Linked DNA regions of Sus scrofa. The protein of the gene in region 1 interacts with the protein of each later gene in a pairwise test. Links are inferred from orthologs where the notes say so. Each region holds a gene or a part of one and is shown in the gene's direction. Other genes may lie near its edges. The genes, in order: SPERT, DZIP1L, MMAB, SYCE1 and FAM161A.

What was found.
Region 2: the proteins of SPERT (region 1) and DZIP1L interact in binary tests that used the Homo sapiens proteins (3 or more experiments, as listed by UniProt). The two-hybrid records come from large-scale screens. The link is inferred for Sus scrofa from reciprocal best matches to the Homo sapiens genes CBY2 and DZIP1L.
Region 3: the proteins of SPERT (region 1) and MMAB interact in binary tests that used the Homo sapiens proteins (3 or more experiments, as listed by UniProt). The two-hybrid records come from large-scale screens. The link is inferred for Sus scrofa from reciprocal best matches to the Homo sapiens genes CBY2 and MMAB.
Region 4: the proteins of SPERT (region 1) and SYCE1 interact in binary tests that used the Homo sapiens proteins (3 or more experiments, as listed by UniProt). The two-hybrid records come from large-scale screens. The link is inferred for Sus scrofa from reciprocal best matches to the Homo sapiens genes CBY2 and SYCE1.
Region 5: the proteins of SPERT (region 1) and FAM161A interact in binary tests that used the Homo sapiens proteins (3 or more experiments, as listed by UniProt). The two-hybrid records come from large-scale screens. The link is inferred for Sus scrofa from reciprocal best matches to the Homo sapiens genes CBY2 and FAM161A.

What each region holds. Positions count from the first base shown.
Region 1 is NC_010453.5:21,617,902-21,622,263, reverse strand, and holds the start of SPERT (spermatid-associated protein), read left to right. Parts: upstream 1-1,561; 5' UTR 1,562-1,595; coding exon 1,596-1,649; intron 1,650-4,362.
Region 2 is NC_010455.5:78,913,824-78,918,370, reverse strand, and holds the start of DZIP1L (zinc finger protein DZIP1L), read left to right. Parts: upstream 1-1,738; 5' UTR 1,739-2,301; intron 2,302-4,547. UniProt on the Homo sapiens protein: Involved in primary cilium formation. Probably acts as a transition zone protein required for localization of PKD1/PC1 and PKD2/PC2 to the ciliary membrane.
Region 3 is NC_010456.5:41,356,238-41,360,525, forward strand, and holds the start of MMAB (cob(I)yrinic acid a,c-diamide adenosyltransferase, mitochondrial), read left to right. Parts: upstream 1-1,349; 5' UTR 1,350-1,416; coding exon 1,417-1,532; intron 1,533-2,748; coding exon 2,749-2,810; intron 2,811-4,288. UniProt on the Homo sapiens protein: Converts cob(I)alamin to adenosylcobalamin (adenosylcob(III)alamin), a coenzyme for methylmalonyl-CoA mutase, therefore participates in the final step of the vitamin B12 conversion.
Region 4 is NC_010456.5:141,731,302-141,735,091, reverse strand, and holds part of SYCE1 (synaptonemal complex central element protein 1), read left to right. Parts: intron 1-2,916; coding exon 2,917-2,979; intron 2,980-3,607; coding exon 3,608-3,667; intron 3,668-3,790. UniProt on the Homo sapiens protein: Major component of the transverse central element of synaptonemal complexes (SCS), formed between homologous chromosomes during meiotic prophase. Requires SYCP1 in order to be incorporated into the central element.
Region 5 is NC_010445.4:79,959,144-79,962,933, forward strand, and holds part of FAM161A (protein FAM161A), read left to right. Parts: intron 1-1,225; exon of another isoform or gene 1,226-2,307; intron 2,308-3,276; coding exon 3,277-3,503; intron 3,504-3,790. UniProt on the Homo sapiens protein: Involved in ciliogenesis.

The sequences.
Region 1 (4,362 bases):
ACCTGGCACCTCACACTGGTATGGCTTTTTACTTGAGATAGAAATAAGAATCTTAGGAGTTTCCATCGTGGCGCAGTGGAAACGAATCCTGACTAGGAACCATGAGGTTGTGGGTTCGATCCCTGGCCTTGCTCAGTGGGTTAAGGATCTGGGGTTGCCGTGAACTGTGGTGTAGATCGCAGATGCAGCTTGGATCTGGTGTTGCTGTGGCTGTGGTGTAGGCTGGTGGCTACAGCTCCAATTGGACCCCTAGTCTGGGAATCTCCATATGCTGTGGGTGCGGCCCTTAAAAAAAAAAAAAGAATCTTAGAAAAGGTGGTAGGTTTAGGCACCTCCACTCCAAAAACTTTCAGAAGGCTTTGCCATCAACTGTAAAATATCTTATCAGATATCACTTTCACATCCTTTCAGACTCAGATTTTCATAAAGTACATTATTAGCAAGAAGGGATAAGTGAGCAGTAGAAAGTCTTGTTTTCTGGGTGAGCATCTGAGGCCCAGAGAAGGGGCCGGGAAGCAGAAATCCATTTATTTTCTCTTTTCCGCAGCACTCGAGGCCAAATTTTACAAGAAAAAGAGATACCAGATGTGAAAGCCTAGAAATTCCAATCAATGTGGTTCTGCCTCAGGTAGGGATAATCACAGAAGGATGCAACCCTTCAGTTAGCCAGAATAACCCTCCCCTTTCAAAACTCTAGCCTGAGGACATGGAGCAGGCAGAGCCAGCAAGGCCTCCGATTCTAGTTGTAGGGCAGCTGCCAAGCCAGCAGTGTGGCTGGGGGAGGGCACTTAAGCCATTCTGAGTCTTGAATGGGGGGTGGGGAGGGAGCTTGTTAGGTGATCTGATAAGATCTTCCGGCCCTACCCCTTGAAATCTCTGTGACACTCTGAAATAAGCCAGTCTCTCCAAAATTAGATCTTTTGGCGTTGGCTGTTCTGCAACTTCTCTGGATTTCTGGCAGGTCCTGGGAGGTGGCTGGCAGACAATGAGATCTGAGACTTGGAATCAAAAACGCAAGACCTGGAGTTCCCATTGCGGCCCAGCACTAACAAACCCAAGTAGTATCCATGAGGACACGGGTTCGATCCCTGGCCTCATCCAGCGGGTTAAAGATCCGTTGTTGCTGTGAGCACTGGTGTGGGTCGCAGAGGAGGCTCGGATCTTATGTTGCTGTGGCTGTGGTGTAGGCCAGCGGCTACAGCTCCAATTCAACCCCTAGCCTGGGAACCTCCATATGCCGCCGGTGTGGCCATACAAAGAAAAACAAACAAACAAAAAACAAAACCAAAAAACATATGACTTGAACCCATGAGGAGACAACCTAGGACTCAGCCCAAGGGGTGCAGGGTCATCTGGGGGTGTCAGGAGAATTAAGACCTGCTTTTTGCCCAAGACAAGAGTATGGGGGGGCGGGGCTTGCAGGATTCCGAATGGAAGCCCGTGAATGGATGACGGGCTGGAGATTCTCAGCTCTCCGCCTGCTAAGCAGCCGTTTCCCTGGAGGGGTTCTCCTGATTGGATTGTTTCCATGGCTATGTCACAAAGGGGGGGCAGCCTTGCTTCTTCAGAGTCACCTAAGGCCCTGCTGGAAGATCATGGCTGTGCAGCCGGAGGGGCTGAAATGTAGGGCGGAGGAATCCAGCGTAGAGGTAGCCACCCAGAGAGCTCTGTCCAGGGCTGTGTAGGAACAGGACTGACTGCCCCTGGGCATCCTGGCCTTTCGGAGGACGTGAGGCACTGCTGCTGCGCACAAGTCCTGTGTCAGGTTCCGGACCCTCAGCAGGATGCTCCAGGCCGGCAGTCCTGGGTGGGGGAAGGGTGCGTCTCTAAGTTTAGATGAGATGTGGGCGCGTTCAGGTCCGGTTTGTTCAGGGTGGTGTGGCTGTAGTCTGTAAGTTTAGATGATCTGAACTGGGCCACCTCTAGGACTGTGAGGGACCAGTGTGCTGACTCGATCTCCCCAGAGGAGATTGTGCATGGCTGGCGGCGGGGCAAGGACCGATCTGCTTAACACGGCGGGGGTTGGGGGGGGAGAGAGGGAGATGCCCTGAGCACTGATGTGTGATGTGATCACGTGGTGGGCATGGGGCCAAGCAGCGTGAGGGAGACTGTGTAGGAATTGAAACCCAGAAGCCCCACTAGTAAGGCAGGGCTGGAGCTGGAGGCTTGAAACCAGGTCAGTGCCTCTTCCTCTGCTGTGCCCCCGGCTGGGCACAGGCCAGCTGCGTCTTCCCTGGCTTTTAGGACATGGTACCTCCCCTCCCCCCCATCTTTACTGCCTACCCCCGAGCTCCCTGCAGGTCTCTGCCACATTCTGCTTCCTTCTGAGACCAAGTCCATTCGTCGCAGCAGGGAACAGCCACAAGCAGCCCTGAGCCCTGCATTGCCAGAAAGCGCCTCTGGCCTCCTGGCTCCCAAACAAGCCGCCAGGCACGCATCTCAGTTACATTGCAGATGCCTATGGCTCACTGTTTGTTATCACCCTGTGGTCTTTTCAGGTCTTATTGATTTTCAGTTTTTCTTCCTCACATTAGGGACTTGTACTTTCTGAGCTCTTTCCCTCCAGCGCGTTAACCATCAGTGCCCAAGCTCTCTGCCCTCCTGGGTCCTTTTGTACATAACAATTCAGTTCGGGCGGAGGGGGGGGGTCGCAGTTCCCCAGTGAGCGCTCTCTGGGAACTTCCTAAAGGCACTGTTTACTGCCAGACCATTGATGCAGGACCTACACCAGGTCAGGATGCATTCTGACAGCGACCCCCTTCCACTCCTGCCGCCCCCCATCCCTCTCTGTTCCCTTGTCCCAGTCCCCTGGGTTTGGGTTTGTTCTTCAGAAGCTATGGACTCTGCCGACCATGCCTGCACCTCTGCCAGTTTGAATAAGCTTTAGGAAGAAGATGTCAGAAGATTCCGTGTTCAACAATTAGCAAAAATGAGCACAGAGGATGGCAGATGACATCTTTATCCTCTTTGCTGTTAATGTTATGATTCTATCAAGATCAATCACATTGACCTGTGAATTATCCTCTTATCTGCTGGCATTTATGAAAACCAACATTGACTTTCTCATGGCACTCGGGAGCAGAGTTAATTTAAAAATATGATAATGAGGCTCAGGCTTATCACCTGGTCTGAAAATTAGTGGCGTGGCTGGTCTTTCCTTCCAGCATCCTGGGGCCTCTCAGCTTCACACGCCTGAAAGGGAACCTCCGGTGGCTGAATGTTCTGTGATTGTAACCCTCAGTGACGCTGCCAAAGCAGGGCTTTAATGGACTTGGTCGGAGTTCCCAGTGTGGTGCAGGGGAAACAAATCTGACTAGGAACCATGAGGTTGTGGGTTCGATCCCTGGCCTTGCTCAGTGGGTTAAGGATCTGGTGCTGCCGTGAGCTGTGGTGTATGTTGTAGATGGCGTTGCTGTAGCTGTGGTGTAGGCCGGCAGCTACAGCTCTGGTTAGACCCCTAGCCTGGGAACCTCCATATGCCACAGGTGCAGGCCTAAGAAGACAAAACAAAAAAAACAAAACACGAGATGCTGGGGAGAAGGACAGGCCTGATGCTAAGGACAGATCCCCAACCACAGGGGGGATTTAGGCATCTGTGCGGGAGATGTTGGTGCCCAGAGCCCTTCCTGGGCCCTCAGCATGAATGCATCCTACTTATGTCACAGCTGGGAGCACATTGCTCTGAGGCCAACCTGTTTGGTTGCCTGGCTAATAAAGCCTTTGGAAAGAACCCCACAGCTATGAGTCTTCCCCTCCTGCATCCTGCATCCTTCTTTGCATCCCCTTCTTCCACGGGGAATCCCACCTTTTCCTCTCCCACCTCCTGGGTCTGCATCCACATGCCAGGGCACTGCCCACAGATCAGGGAGGAGACCAATCCTTTTCTTCATGGGAAACCTGGCCAGGCTGCTCTGGGCGCTGGGATCACTCTGGAACTTTCCGGGTGTTCCAGGAGCTTTTTATGGGCACGAACCCCTTGTTGTGAAATGTGTGGTCCTAATTCCCAGGACTGGGAACGTCAAAAAAACCTAAGGCATGGGTCACTGTCCCTAGAGAATTATATTTTATTCATCCGGGGAGAAGATGGGATGGGACATAGGAGAACCACTGCAAAGTAATGATAGCAACACACATGCATAATAAAATATCTGGACATTGCGAAGCGCTAGAATGAGCATGCAGTTTGGAGTCAGATATCCTGGTTTTAAACCCTTGCTGGCTGTGTGATCTCAGGTAGAAACACAGTAGCTCCTTTCAGTAAGATATTGCCTATAAATATGGAAATCAATTAGCACACCATCACATAGTAGTCATTCAGTAAGTGTTATTCCCTTTTCCTTGTTCCATACAGTATAAGGAAAT
Region 2 (4,547 bases), on another chromosome or scaffold:
GAGAGCAGAGGAACAAGACTCCCCATCAGAGCTGGTGGTTCACTGACATCCCTACTTAGGTCTGATCCCTGTCCACCCCCCTTTCCTAACACTTCAAATTTTTTGGCAAGGAGTTCCCGTCGTGTCTCAGCAGTTAACGAACCCGGCTAGTATCCATGAGGATGTAGGTTCGATCCCTGGCTTCAATCAGTGGGTTAAGGATCCGGCATTGCCATGAGCTGTGGTGTAGGTGGAAGACATGGCTCAGATCCTGCGTTTCTGTGGCTGTGGTGTAGGCCCACAGCTGAAGCTCCGATTCAATCCCTGGCCTGGGAACCTACATATGCCGCAGGTGCAGCCCTCAAAAAAAAATTTTTTTTTGGTAATATATACATACCATACATTTACACTTTTAACCATTTTCAAGTGTATTGCTCAGTGGTATTAAGGACATTCACACTGCTGTGCAACAAGCAGTGCTATCCATCTTTAGAAATTTTATATCATCCCAAACTGAAACTCTGTACCCATTAGGCGATAACTTCCTATTCCCTCCTCCCTCCATCCCTGGCAGCCATCATTCTACTTTCAGTCTCTATGAGCTTGACTATTCTAGGTACCTTGTGTAAGTAGAATTATATGTGTCTCTTTGTGTCTGACTAATTTCACTTAGAAGAATGTTTTCAAGGTTCATTCATGTTGAAGCATGTATCAGATTTCATTCCTTTTAAGGCTGATATATATACATATACATATATACACACACACACACACACACACACACACACATATATATATATAATGTTGTGTATGTCTATACACACACACGCACACATACATATAACATTTTTTTGTCCATTCATCTGTTGATGGACATTGGGTTATTCCCACCTTCTGGCTATTGTGAATAATGCTGCTATAAACATGGGTGTACAGATATCTGTTTGAGTTTCTGCGTGTAATCCTTTTGTGTGTATACTCAGAAGTGCAAGTGCTGGATCATACAGTAATTCCATGTTTAATTTTTTGAGGAACCACCATTCTCTTTTCCCATGGTGGTTGTACCATTTTACATTCTCACAGTAGTGCATAGGTAATCCAGTTTCTCCACATTCTTGCCAACATTTGCTCCCATGCAATTTTGCTTGGAATGCCTAATGACACAACTTGGCAGACTGAGGCCGGAGTGGGAGGAAGGCTCAAAAAAATAAAAAAATGGAGTTAGAAATCCGAGTTTCAGTAAAGCAACAGATGGCTATGGGAAGAGGTCAGAGACTGTTTTCAAGAGAGAAATAATTCTTTAGTTCTGGGTTTCCCAGCTGTATCCACAGGAGGTTGGGGGTTGGGGGGAAGGTGGTTGCCATCTGACCAGATCTGGGACTCTCTTAAAGGAGGAGCATGGGTCTGGGTCAGACACCAAGAAGGTCCCTTTAGTTTACTTTAGTTGCTTAATTCAGTTCAGTTCAGTTTAGTTTAGATTGGCAGGCCTGTCGGCCCGGGGGGAGGGGGTGGGTGGTTAAAGCTGCCCAGGGGCTCTCAGCAGGCCAGCGGCTGTACTGGGTGAATGGGTGGGGGGCTGTGTGCGTGAGTGTCTGGGGTGGGGGACGGAGGACGTCCCGGCCTTTCATCAAGGTCTGGGAGCCACTCATTAGGTTCCTGGATTTTCCTGACAGATTAAACGTGGCATTCTCTCCTTCCCGCTTCCCTAACGGACCTAAAAATAGCTTGTCCCGGGGGGGGGGGGGGGGGGGTGTTTGCGGAGAAGCTCCGCCCCTCCAGCAGCTGTCGCGGGAGCTGGAGGCATCAGAGACCCCAAGCCTTCTTGGGCCGGCGCCCAGAGGTTTTCTGTGCCCCCAGCCCCGCAGGTCAGCAGCACTGGGTGGCGAGGCGGCTCTGTCCCGCGCCCGGGAGAGGCCGGGCTAGCCGGGGCTTAGGAAGCATCCCAGGCCCGCGCGGCGGCGCTGATTCCTGGAAGCACGTCGGTCGGAGGCGGTGGAGCGAGCCCGGAGGCTAAGCCGGGCGGAGGAGCGGAGTCACGCGCTCGGGACCATTGCTCGCTCCCTCGGCTCAGAGGACCCCCCCAGCTGAGCTGGGCCGCGTAGGGAAACTATGCCAGGAATTCGGCCCGGAACCGGCAGGGGTGGGGAGCGTGGTGCAGTCCGAGTGACCCGACCCGCGGGCCTCAGGACGTTAAACAGCCGCGGCTCCCTAGTCCTGCGGGGTGAGGTGCGGGAGCTTCGGACTCTACGCCTCAGCTTCGCCTCTTGAGCCTGGCGTCCCCACCCTGGCTGCTTGGCCTGATAGGGACAGAGGTACCCGGAGGTGAGCAGGGCAGGGCTTCGCTGGGAGGATGACCTTGGATTTTCACTTTTTGAAAAAAGTAAAATGATTGGGGTGGGGTTAGAGGTTTGCTGCTTTGCGTTCTGTAGGTAAAGGGAGACCTTTGACTAACGAGTTCATTTAAAAACAGTTTAGCACCTCTGGTTCCTCTGCCTTGCACTCCGAGGCTGGGGTTTAGCAGGAGGCAGCGATCATATTTTTATTTTGAGGTGGCTGCAGATAAAAGTCCATGGGACACTTATTTAGTACAGGACTAGGGTCCAGAAGGGAGCTCAGAAGAGGGGTCGAGGAGGCCTGGGCAGGGGCCACCGTTCACCCAGCACTACTTAGGGCCCAGGGCTTGCCCGTCCCAGCAGTTTCTTGAAATGTGGTTTCTAACAGGACTTTGAAGGGAGGCTTTGTGAGTGTGAGGTGCTCAGACTGTGGCCTGCAGATAGGGTGGGTGGTTCCTCTCCTTTGTCACAGTCCCTCACATCTCACCCTGGAGCAGAGGACTGGCCAGTGAGAACAGCCTCACTTAGAGAAGGCAGATTCTCCAGTCAAGTGGCTGATGAGCCATCTTCTGTCTCTGTCAGCATCAATGCTCTGGAGACCTCTGTCTGTGGTAGAAATCTTTGTGGATGCCATCCAACTTGATAGAATGGTCTTGTGAAGTTATATGCCTCGGGTTGGGAACAGAAACCTGAATTCATTTGCACAGCATAAGTGGGTTCTGCCAGGAAGCTGGAACTTATTTGGTCAAAAGGCTTGTCGCTCAGCTGAAACTGACAGGAGCAGGGAAGGGGACAACTTGGTGCACTGTTCTGGACCTCCTTGTGGGCCCCTTGCAGGGAGGGCCAGCCCTGGTCAGCAGGGTTATCCACCTGCAATACCACCTGTCACTGGGCCTTATACCTCTAGGGAGGATTTTGAGGGTCTGATGGCCCAGGCTCTGAAGTTGGAGAAGCTCTGCCAAGAAGCAATGACTTCTCTATGGGAAAGAAAACAATAGTATGTTTTCAGTTGTCATTCTTTTATTTTTGTTTTGTTTTGCTTTATTTTATTTTATTTTGTTTTATCTTACTTTATTTTATTTTTTATTTTATTTTTTGTCTTTTTACCTTTTCTAGGGCCACTCCCTCGGCATATGGAGGTTCCCAGGCTAGGGGTCGAATCGGAGCTGTAGCTGCTGGCCTATGCCAGAGCCACAGCAACACGGGATCCGAGCCGCATCTGTGACCTATACCACAGCTCATGACAACGCTGGATCCTTAACCCACCAAGCAAGGCCAGGGATCAAACCCGCAACCTCAAGGTTTCTAGTCGGATTTGTTAACCACTGAGCCTCGACGGGAACTCCTGTCATTCTTTTATTTTTGCCTTTTTTTTTTTTTTTTTTTTTTTTTTTGGTCTTTTTGGGGCCACGCCTGCAGCATATGGAGATTCCCAGGCTAAGGGTCAAATTTGAGTTGTAGCTGTCGGCCTACGCTACAGCCACAGCAAAGAGGGATCTGAGCTGTGTCTGCGACCCACACTGCAGCTCATGACAACACTGGATCCTTAACCCACTTATAGAGGCCAGGGATCGAATCTGCATTCTCATGGATCCTAGTTGGGTTCATTAATCGCAGAGCCACAATGGGAACTCCTCAAATGCTGTTCTTTTAGATGTGAAAATTAGTGTTTGTTTTTGACAGTTTTGATCTGGGAAGATTGATCTTATCAGTATGAAGTCCTTTCCCTCTAAAATACTTTGAAGACATGTCAGTCAAATCCCCATCTTTGATTTTTAAAGATAATTCTTCTGTGGCAAAAACTTAAAATAGGCTTTCGACCGAACAAGGACGTTGTCTTTTTATCTATTTCTTTCTTTCTTCTTTTTAGGGCCTCACCTGTGGCATATGGAAGTTCCCGGGCTAGGGGCCTATACCACAGCCATAGCAATGCCAGATCTGAGCCATGTCTGCAACTTACACCGCAGCTCCCAGCAACGTTGGATCCTTAGCCCACTGAGCGAGACCCTCATCCTTGTGGATGCTAGTTGAGTTCTTAACCTGCTGAGCCATGATGAGAACTCTGGCATTGTCTTTTAAAAATATTTCCTCTCATTTCCCATGGTGGCTCGGTGGTTAACGAACCCGAGTCGTATCCAGGACGACTCGGGTTCCATCCCTGGCCTTGCTCAGTGGGTTAAGGATCCCGCCTTGCTGTGAGCTGTGGTATAGGTTGCAGATGAGGATGGGATCCTG
Region 3 (4,288 bases), on another chromosome or scaffold:
TACTATCCATGAGGACAGGGGTTCAATCCCTGGCCTCACTTGGTGGGTTATGGATTTGGTGTTGCCGGGAGCTGTGGTGTAGGTCACAGATGCAGCTTTGTTCTGGTGTTGCTGTGGCTGTGGTGTAGGCCAGCAGCTACAGTTCCAATTCGACCCCTAGCCTAGGAACTTCCATATGCCGCAGGGGCGGCCCTAAAAAAAAGACACACACACAGACACAAAAAGCTGCATGGAGCAATAAGTGAACTTAACTCGATGGATTTTGAGAAGGTTAATAATGGAAGGGAAACAGCAATGTCTGGTACATCATAATCACTCAATTGCTGACAGCTACTTATTACTGGCTTGGTTCTTGGTTGCAATTTTATTATTACTACAATTTTTTAAAAAATGTCTGCACTCTTAGCATGTGGAAGTTCCCCGGCCAGGGACTGAATCAGAGCTGCAGGTGCACCCAGGCCACTGCAGGCAGCTTCTTAACCCACTGATCCACAGAAGGAACTCCATAAAGGTAGAAATGTAAATGAAATCATGGACCAGAAAGAACTCTTTCCTGGACATTTAGGCTGTTACTAACATTTCATAATTAAAAATAGGCCACAGAAAACAGCTCTTACAACCCCCTCCTTTTTTTTTTTTTTTTTTTTTTTGGTGACATTTAAGCGAGAATCTCTACAAGACAGACTGCTAGAAAGTAACTTGCTAGGTGCACGTTGTGTGCATTTAAGATTTTTGTAAACCGTATAAAATTACCATCTATTTAAGGCTTTCCGTATATCACCTCAATAGAACGAGGCCTGAACCGCAGTATGAGCTAAGTACCGTTTCTTAGAAGGGGAGGGGAAACTCAGGCTCGGAGCCGGGAAACCTGTTGCTTGCCCAAAAATCAAAATCCCGTCTGCCAGATTCGAGGTCGTGGGCCACTCAGGACGGATGCTCAGAATTGGGGAAACTGAGCCAGAGAAGCCAAGAGCCCAGCCGGGGTCGTCCTAGGTCTCAGCCTCGGACTTGGCCCCACCAGGGACCACGACTCCGATTTCTCACCTGCGACTGCAGGCTCTCGGCTCCAGATCCCGAACAGCTCCCGGACTCAACCCGCGAGCTCTGAAGCGCCATGGGGTGGTGGCCGAGCCCATCCGCCCAGCCAATCAGAGCGCGCGGGCCGGGAGTCTCTTTTTACCAATTGGCTTGAGTAGTAGCCAATAGACGTTGCTAGCCAAGTCCTCGTGGATTTCCCCGCCCCTCTCCTGTGTGAACCAATGGAAACAAATCCCTGGGAGTGTCCCGCCCTGGGGCGAGAGCCACGGACCAATGGAAGACGGCGGCTGAGTGGTGGCGCGGCCGGCGGTAGGTGGTGTCATCCAGGAACCTGGACGGGAGCCTGTCAGGGTCAGCCCTCAATCAGAAGCCTGGCTCATGGCTATATGGGGCCCGGGAGGTCGCCTTGGCCTGCGTGGGTGCCTTGGTGCCCGCAGGCTACTGTGTCTCCGTTTTCAGAGCCGTGGCCCCCAAGGCGTGGAAGACGGGGAGAGGTGAGTGCCTGCCTGGGACGGTAGGCATAACTCGGGTACCTGCAGTGAATTGTGTTTTCGTCGCCCTGGTTACGTCATACCCCTGGGGCGTCGCCGCAGTTATCCCAGGTGACGTGCTCTGTAGCCCTGACGTCACATGGCAACACAGGCTCTGTGGAAGCTGGAAATCAAGGTGTCTTGGCACAAGACAAGTCCAAACGAAGTCTAGCATTCATCAGGACAGGATGTATCCTCTGTGGGCCAAGAGGGTCATCTTGACTGGCCTTACAATCAGGAGGGGCCGCAATTCAGATTTTGACCTATCTCCAACTTAGTTTATACTTTAAGACACAGAGATACACCAACACAATCTAAAGGTGGCTGTCATATATCTTGAAATCTGCACCCTATTCCCAGACCTCAGAACCTGACTTAATGGATTAATATATTTAATAGATCCGTAATTGAACATTTGAATAACCTTTTAATGTCACTTTTTAATGCTGAAGTGTGTATTAAAAGTGTTATGTTGCTATTTGAAAATGCCAGTTTTTGAACCCTGTTTTGGCAGTTCTTCATTTCGGAGTGCACTTGGGAGCTTCACAGTATGCAAATAGCCCAGGGTTTTTTCACTCCAAGAGTCCCTGGCTTAGTGGAGTAGATGGTCAAAGTTTTGAGTAGAACAGAGGTAACTGTTTGGAATGTGGAGTAAGGTAGTCATGGGCAAGAATCCCAGCTTGATTCCTTCCTCCCTGGATGACCTGGGAAGGTGAGTCTCATTCGTGAGCTAGAGATTCCTCATTAAAATGAAGGTCATGGGTAGTGCCTCCCTTGAGGGCTTGGGAAGCTTCCAGAGATAATTCTAGGTGATAGTGTCATTAATTTACCTATCACAGAACAGAGACTACAGAAAATGATTGATAAATTCTTTCAGCCTGTATTTATTGAGCGCTACACTACTTCAGCTACTGGGAAGCTATGGATGTGGGCAAGATTCAGAGCTTGCCCACAAAGAGCTTAAAAATAAGAGCAGCAGAGGGGAAAGATAACAGGAGATCCAAGCAGAGGCAGATAAGTGCTGCCATTGAGTTCAGATAGCAAACTGTGACCCACTGATGGAGGTGCCCCATGGTGTAGGCCATCCCCACTCACCACCTCTTTTTTTAAAGATTTTTATTTTTTCCATTATAGTTGATTTACATCCACTCACCACCTCTTGCTGTCTGTTTCTCCTTAGGCCACAGCCTTCCTCAAAGACGCCCAAAATCCCCAAGATCTACACCAAGACAGGAGACAAAGGTAGGGTGGGGACAGGCGAAAAATACAGAGAGAGATGGAAGATTCTTCCATTTTAAAGTTCTTCTGCCTTCTTTGCAGACACTGCAAAGTATGTGACAGATCAAAATGTGATGTGACATGAAAGGGCCCAAGATATATTAAGTGATAAACGTGAGTTGCAGAGCAGTTCAAATTGGAATCCATTGGATACAAGTGTGTGTGTCTTTATATTTTCAGAAATGCCAAGAACATTATATAGTTACACCTTGGACCTGAGAGAGATCTTGAATTATGGGAGAGGGGAATGAATAGATAGGCTTTCGTTGTTTCCTATACATATTTTTACTGTATTCCATTATTTTTATAGTGAGCACATATTACTTTGATAATTTTTAAAATGCCAGAACAATTGGCACAACATTGTAAATCAACTATACTTCCTAAAATGGAAAAAACATAGTTATTATACTAAAAAAAAAAATAAATTCCTACTGTATACCACAGGGAACTATATCCAATCTCCTGGGATAGACCATGATGGAAAATAATATATAAAAAAAAGGATATAGGCGTTCCTGTTGTGGCTCAGAGGGTTAAGAACCTGACATAGTATCCTTGAGGATGTGGGTTTGATCCCTGGACCCACTCAGTGGCTTAAGGAGCTGGCATTGCCACAGACTACAGCATAGGTCACAGATATTGCTTGGATCCAGCGTTGCTGTGGCTGTAGCATAGGCCGGCAGCTACAGCTCTAATTGGACCCCTGACCCAGGAATTTCCATATGCCGTAGGTGGAGCCTTAAAAAAAAAAAAAAAAAAAACGAGAGAGAGAATATATATTTGGGAGTTACCATCATGGTGCAGCAGAAACAAATCCAACTAGGAACCATTCCTGGCCTTCCTCAGTGGTTTAAGGATCTGGTGTTGCCATGAGCTGTGGTGTAGGTCGCAGACACAGCTTGGATCCTGTGTTGCTGTGGTTGGACCCCTAGCCTGGGAACCTCTATATGCTGTGAGTGTGGCCCTAAAAAAAAAAAAAAAAAAAAAAAAAAAAAAAAAAAAGAACATATATTTGCATGACTGAGTCTCTTTGCTGTACAGCAGAAATTGGCACAACATTGGAAATCAACTATAATAATAAAAAGTAAAAGTAAATTTTAAAAAATGAAGATTAAAAAACTCTACAACTTATGTTTTACAGAAAAAGGATCCAGAAGAACCTATCAGTATGATACTATTTTCTAAAGTTTAAAATTGTGCTGAGGGAGTTCCCTTCGTGGCGCAGCAGAAATAAATCCGACTAGGAACCATGAGGTTTTGGGTTCGATCCCTAGCTTCGCTCAGTGGGTTAAAGATCCGGCGTTGTTGTGAGCTGTGGTGTAGGTTGCAGATGAGGCTCAGATCCTGCCTTTCTGTGGCTGTGGTATAGGCTGGCAGCTGTAGCTCTGATTATTTGACCCCTGGTCTGGGAACCTCCATATGCCTGGGGTACGGCCCTA
Region 4 (3,790 bases), on another chromosome or scaffold:
GCTCACCCACCTCCCTCCTTAAGATTCAATCATGAACATGTCTTGGTGACACTTTCAGACCTGCCGTTACCAGTGCAGCTTTGGTACATTGGTAAGGGCTCCATAACGTTTTTATAAAATAAAGGTCTAAGTAATTAAAGAAACAGCACAGAAAGCTTGATTGGAGCACAGTGTGGCACCTGGTGACAACTCTCAGCTAAGGACAAAGAAAAACAGGGCAGATGCATATAGTTCCCTTTTCTTAAGCACCTACCGTGGCCACCACTGTACTAAAGAAACCTCTTAGTATTGCTCTTCCAAATTTCTCAAATAAGACAACATATTTAGATGAATGTTTAATCAGTTTCACCAGTGTCTTATAACTGGTGAAATACCATATCCCATGTGGCTTAGAAACTTAGGAATTTTACAACTTCACTCTTTCCTGGAGGATCACACAAAACATATAGATGCATGGACTACGTAGTCACTGGAGCCTAGATGGCGGTAGGAAAACATGGGGAGGGAACAGCTAAATCCCGAGGTATTTCTACTGGGAAATACCTGTAGAGTGGATTTCTGAAATGAGGAAGAAATGGAATTAAAATTAAGGTAACTATGTCAACTTTTAAATTATTAGATGTATTTACACTGATACAGCATGATTTTCAAAAAGGATATTTTTATGAGAGAAAAGCAAGAAAAATTATAATTATAGCACTATGTAGGTTGCACAGAAAGATGTCTGGAGGCTGCTTTCCTAATTGATGGCTCCAAGGAAGGGACTTGGATTTTGAGGGCAATGCAGAGGTAAAGGAACATTTTTAACCTTAATATTTGTATTTTCTACTAAGAATATGTAATTAATACTAGTGGAAATTTAAAATGTAAAAGTAGGGGACATTTTTAAAATGCCATTTGAGGATTGTATGTTAATATCTATCACTGTTGTTCTCTCAGTTTTAATTGTTATACTGAGGTTATTACTATATAGGAGAGTGTCCCTGTACTTTAGAACTTCACAACAGAATATTCGGGGTAATGAAGCATTGTATCTGCAACTCATTCTCAAGGTTCAGAAAGAGTAGCAAATGGAAGATTTGGGATGAAGGGCATAAAGGAGCTGTATGTCCTATTCTTAAACTTTATTATGGAAAAATTTAGGCATATGCAAGAATGCACAGGCACATGAAAAGATGCTGAACATTGCTAATATAGAAAGAGAAAACTACAATGAGGTATCACCTCACACTAGTAAGAATGTCTATCATAGTCTACAAATAAATGCTGGAGAGGGTGTGGAAAAAAGGAACCCTTCTACACTGTTGGTGGGAATATAAATTGGTGCAGTCACTATGGAGAACAGTAGAGAGGTTCCTTAAAAAACTATAAATATGGTTACCATATGATCCAACAGTCCCACTCCTAGGCATGTATCTGGAAAAAAATAAAACTAATTTGAAATGGTATATGCACCCCAGGGTCACAGCAGTACTTTTTACAGTAGCCAAGACATGGAAGCAACCTAAATGTCCATGGACAGATAACTGGATAAAGAAGAGGTGGTGCATATATATACATGACTGAATAATACTCAGCCATAAAAAGAATGAAATAATGGCATTTCCAGCAAAATGGATGGACCTAGAGGTAATCATACTAAATGAAGTAAATCAGACAAAGACAAATATCACCTATGTGTGGAATCTAAAACGATGATACAAATGAACTTATTTACAAACCAGAAATAGACTCACAGACATAGAAAACAAACTTACGGTTACCAAAGGGGAGAGGGGGAATGGAGGGATACATTAGGACTGAGATTAACTGATACACACTACTAAATATAAAACCTAAACAACAAGGACCTGATGTATGGCACAAGGAACTATATGCAATATCTTGTAATCTGTAATGGAAAATAATCTGAAAAAGAATATATATATTCTTCTATAGTGTATTTGATTGAATCAAGATGCAAATATGATCCATTTATCGAGATTGGGTGATAGGTGTCTTTAATCTCTTTTTGTATGTAAGGGTCTTCCTTTCTCCCTCCCCCATAACCCAAAAATGTATTTAAGTTAAACTGGGTTGTTTTTCCTGTGAAGCTCCCCAGTGTGGATGTTGCTAATTGCATCCACAGGAGCCATTTAAAATGATCCTCTGTCCTTGTGTTTCCTTCAAATTGTTATTTAGATAGAGAGGCTTAACATGTTTTAGTGTCATTTTTGACAAGAATCCTATGTTGTATTTTTACATCAAATAGCTCATAATGTCTATCTTTATTTTGATGTTAATAATAATTGCCTAGATCTACCAGTTCATTAGGGAGTTAAAAATAAATGCCTATTTGAGTATAAGCAAGTCAGTACAAAATGGTTTTCTAGGAGGCTCCAGAGTAATGATTGTATGTAGGAAAGCGTTTTGTATTCATATACATTTAAATGAGACATCTTATTAAATTTCCTCACTATTCCTTGTGAGGTATTTTGGTCTTTTTGTGGGGATTTGTTTTGTTTTGTTTTGGTGATATTCTCTTGAACTTTATAGACGATTATGCCATCTGCTGTTTACAGTGACTTCTGACTCCTTGTTTCCAGTTTTTAATATTTTAATACCTTTTTTTCTTTCATTATTACATCCTGCGCTTTGACCAAGCCTTGAACAGTATCTGTAGTAAGCATGCACTCCTTCCCTTGCCCTGAGTTTTAGTAAGTGGAAATCTGTGGTGTCATTTCATCCTTAAGGAAAAGCTGACCATGACCCGATTCATCCCTTGTGCAGTGTCCACTTAAGGTCAAGGAGCAGAAGCACCACTTTGGCTGGAAACCTGCCCTCAACCCACCTCAGTTCCAGCCCAAGGTTGTCAGATCTTCCCTCAGGCTTCTCACACCTATATGATTCTTAAATGTTTGGTTTTTGTCTCCACAGGGCAGGCCAAGTCCTCACAAAAAATAGAAGACTTGATGGAAATGGTGAAGAAGTTGCAGAAAGGTCACGTCTCCTCTGTAACTAAGGCTCAGCCTGAGGTTTGGGTTCAGGCAGAAGTAGAATCAATTCTAAGCCCCCATATTCACAAACTTGGGAAATGAAGTCATTTGCTTTCTCTTACTTTTAAACCTTAATTTTCTGAGTTAAAAATATGACCCATGATTCAAAGTTAAAGTGTAATGCAATAAAATGCAAAACATTGTCCTAACACTCCCCTTACTCACCATCCATTTGGCTCCCACTGCGATTTGCTGAAAACAGTTTTTCACCTTTACCTCCCTTCCCTCCACCTCACATCTGCTCCTCTGTGCTTCCTTACCAGACACCTCCCAGCCATGTTCCTACCTCAAGGCAGGCCTTTGCACTGTCTCACACCCACCCAGCGAACTTCAAGGCCTACCCCACCCTACTTGATTTGGGGCTCTCAAGAGGTCTTGCCATATCTGAAGAAGCGTGTCCTGCTCCTTTACTTTTTAATCCATTACCTATTTCTCTTGACCGCAGTTACCACAATCTGACTTTGTCTCTCTCTGTTCCTGTCTCCCCTACCCAAGATGTAAGCCCTTGGAGGGGCATCCACCTCCCTCTGTCTGTCCTGTCATAGTCACTCAACCTCCTTTTCTCCCTGCAGCGGGAAGCCTAGAGCCCAAGGTTGAGGTCCTGATTAACCGGATTAATGAGGTTCAGCAAGGTGAGCTCAGGACCTTGCCTTGTCAACCAGGATAAGTTATGTGATTTGCAGGACTCAGTGTAAAGTGAAAATGCGGTGCCCCTAGTTCAAAATATACAAAGTGTTTTGAAAGAGCAGAGCATT
Region 5 (3,790 bases), on another chromosome or scaffold:
AAAGAACAAAGGGAAGAGCACATGGATACTTTTGTCCAAAAACTGTTTTTTGTCTTTTTAGGGCCATACCTATAGCATACGGCAGTTCCCAGGCTAGGGGTCAAATTGGAGCTTTAGCTGCTGGAGTACACAACAGCAATGCCAGATCTGAGCTTTGTCTGCTACCTACACCACAGCCCATGTCAACGCCAGATCCTTAACCCACTGAGCAAGGCCAGGGATTGAACCCACATCCTCATGAATGCTAGTCAGATTCATTTCTGCTGAGCTATGATGGAAACTCCTAAAAACAGTTCCTTGTAGTATCCACCTATTTAAAGATGGATTTTGAAAAATAGTTCCTTTCTTAATGCTCAGTGGAATGTAGCTCTTTTTTTTTTTTTTTTTTTGGTCCTTTTTTTTGGCAGGGGCCGCACCCACGGCATATGGAAGTTCCCAGGCTAGGGGTCAAATCAGAGCCGCAGCTGCTGGCCTATACCACAGCTCACGGCAATGCCAGATCCTTAACCCACTAAGCAAGGCTAGAGTTTGAACCTGTGTCCTCATGGATGCTAGTCAGATTTGTTTCCACTGAGCCACAACGGGAACTCTGAATATAGCTCTTTAGAGCAGCCAATATGTCTTTGACTGCTTCAGTCCTTTGTGAGAGAATGTCTTTCCTTGGTGTTTTTTAAGCTGGACATTCATTCATCCAACAAAAATTTATTGAGTGTCTGCCACTGGCCAGGCACTTTTCCAGTCATTGGGGACACAACTGTGAACAAAGCTGACAAATACTTGTTTTTGTGAGACTTACTTTTTGGTAGGGGGCAGGCATATGATACACAAATAAGCAGAGATATGTAGCATGTCAGTCGGGGGTGAGAGAAATAAAGCAGAAGATGGAGGCTGACAATGAGTCAAGAGGGGGAGGTTGTAATTTTGAGTAGAATGTCAGTGAAGACCTTGCTTGGAAGCTGACATTTGAGTAAAGATCTGAAGGAGTGAGCAGACTTTCCCCTAGTCAGAATGAGGTATTTCTTCTGTGAGTTCTCATGGTGTCTGAAATTGTCATGTGTGGTCACTCATCTGTCTCCTTGCTCAGCAGGGAGCTGCTCGTGGGCAGGAAGCAGTTGTGCTGTCTCATTTTGAGTCTGCTATCGATTATTTATCTACATGTTCTCTCCTAAACTACCTGGAAGCTTCTCAAAGGTGCAGTTTTTATCTGATGTGTATCTTTCAGCAGCTAGCTGAATGCCGTGTGTCCCTCAAAACTGAGTGAGGAAATTAATAGAACACTCATTCCCACAGCCAAGAAGGCTATGGTGAAGAGCAACTGCAGAAACAGCATCAGGTAGCAGACAATTCTCTTAATTGAGTTGTATGACTCTTAAAGCAATTCTCCAATTTATTTGGTAATACATTTCTGCACACTAGTTCTACTAAAAACTTGTTTTCCTGCGTTCGTTTTCTCTAAGTTGTCCCAAGTGATACGACCCTGGCCTCCTGTACTGTTTTTAGCCCATTAAAAAGTTATATCTATAAATATGACTGACTCCTGAATTTTCCTGTTGGGAGACACCCCTCAGATTTATTTTCTAGAGTTTCATCAGACTGAACCTATACTTTTCTATGGCAAATATGCCTTTTTCATTTTGAGTATCCTTCAGGCACTAGGCTAATTTAAAACCATGGTCAGCAGCCTTTTATGCATATAAGTAATTTCAATTGTTTCCCACATGAAAAAATATTAAAATTTTTGTATTTGTATAGAATGTGGGGTTTTACCTCTTTAGTTGTTTGAGCTAAAAGAACTTTGAAAGGTTTGTGAGAGGAAAGAGGGGAAAAGATCAGTCGTACCCTTGCAGGCATGTAAATAGAATAGCCCCCCTCTGCTTTCTTGTTCTCTTATCTACCCCACAGTCCCTGTCATCCATGGCAGCTACTGTTTTTGTAGCCCGGGGGAGTGGCTGTTCTGGAAGTCCCTCCCACCCCTTCCCACACCCTCCTCCTCCCTCCCGAGGTATCCCCCAGTATCCAGGAGGGCATCTTCCTGGCTCCTTGATAAGTCCCTGAGCACTCTGTTCCCTCCATTCCCTGTGCCACTGTCCTCTCTTCCCTGGCACACCCTGGGGCCCGCGCAGCAGGAGCCCAGCTGGGGGAGGTTGCTCGGTTTGCAGCAGGAGAAACTGTGTTCCCCTTCATCTCAGGTAAACCTACACTCAGAAGGAGCCTCTATGAAGGGTGGGTTGGGAGTTCCCGCTGTGGCACAGAGGGATCAGAGGCATCTCTGCAGCACTGGGATGGATCCCTGGTTGGCACAGAGAGGTAAGGATCTGGTCTCACTGCAGCCGTGGAATGGTGGCTTATATCTGATTCCTGGCCCCAGAACTTCCATATGCCTTGGGGTGGTCAAGAAAGAAAAGAGAAAGAGGAGTTCCCGTCGTGGCACAGTGGTTAACAAATCCAACTAGGAACCATGAGGTTTCGGGTTCGATCCCTGGCCTTGCTCAGTGGGTTAAGGATCTGGCATTGCCGTGAGCTGTGGTGTAGGTTGCAGAAGCAGCTCGGATCCCGCGTTGCTGTGGCTCTGGCGTAGGCCAGCGGCTACAGCTCCGATTCGATGCCTATCCTGGGAACCTCCATATGCCACAGGAGCAGCCCTAGAAAAGGCAAAATGACCAAAAAAAAAAAAAAAAAAAAAAAAAGAGAAAGAAAGAAAAAGATTTAGTTTTATACTTTCACAGTGTATGGGTTAGTACATGATCTGGGAATCTAACCATCCTTTATAAAATAAATGAAATAGCATTTATTTTTGGGCAACTTGGTATCTCTCATTCTGAATAAAATGTCATTAAGAGAAAATGTATCTAGCTACAAGTAGCTTATAATCCATTATGTACAGAGTCCACATGTAACATATAACCTGATTAAGGGGACTTTTAAAATTTAAAACAGCCTTGGGGGAGTTCCTGTTGTGGCTCAGTGGGTAACGAACCCAACTAGTATCCAGGAGGATGTGGGTTCCATCCTTGGCCTTGCTCATTGGGTTAAAGATCTGATGTTGCCTTGAGCCATGGTATAGGCTGCAGATAAAGCTCAGATCCTTCATTGCTGTCACTGTGGCATAGGCCAGCAGCTACAGCTCTGATTTGACCCCTTGCCTGGGAACTTTCATATGCTGCAGGTGCAGCCCTAAAAAAAAATAAAAATAAAAAAGCAGCATTGGGAATCAGTGTCAGCTTAATTTGGTTTTCAATTCCAGACATCATATAACATTTTTTTTCCTCCTACCAGGCTGATTTTAACACCGACGTTTCTGGGGTGAGTGAACAAAAACAGGATTTTGTGAACTTTTCTGATATTTACTACTCTAATGAAGAGTATTTCAGGAAACTAGAAGAGCTGAAGGCTGCCCACATGGAAACTATGGCCAAGTTAGAGAAAATGTACCAGAATAAACTAAATTTAAAGGAAGTTCAGCCAGTGGTCACCAGGGAAGAAGCTGCTAGTGTCTCTTCTAAGTAAGTTTGTACATAATGTTATTTGTGGAATGTAAAATAAAATGTGTACCTAAAAGTGCAGAACAAAATTATTTCAGAATATTTTCTCACAAATATTCCCCACATCCCCACTCCCCCTTTCTTGGCTTCTCAGCAGCATATGTAGTTCCTGGGCCAGGGGACAGATCCAGGCTGCAGTTTTGACCTAAGCTGCATCTGCAGCATGGCTTGATCCTTAACCCACTGTGCCAGGATGGGTATCGAACATGTGTCCCAGCACTCCCAAAACACCACCAATGCCATTGTGT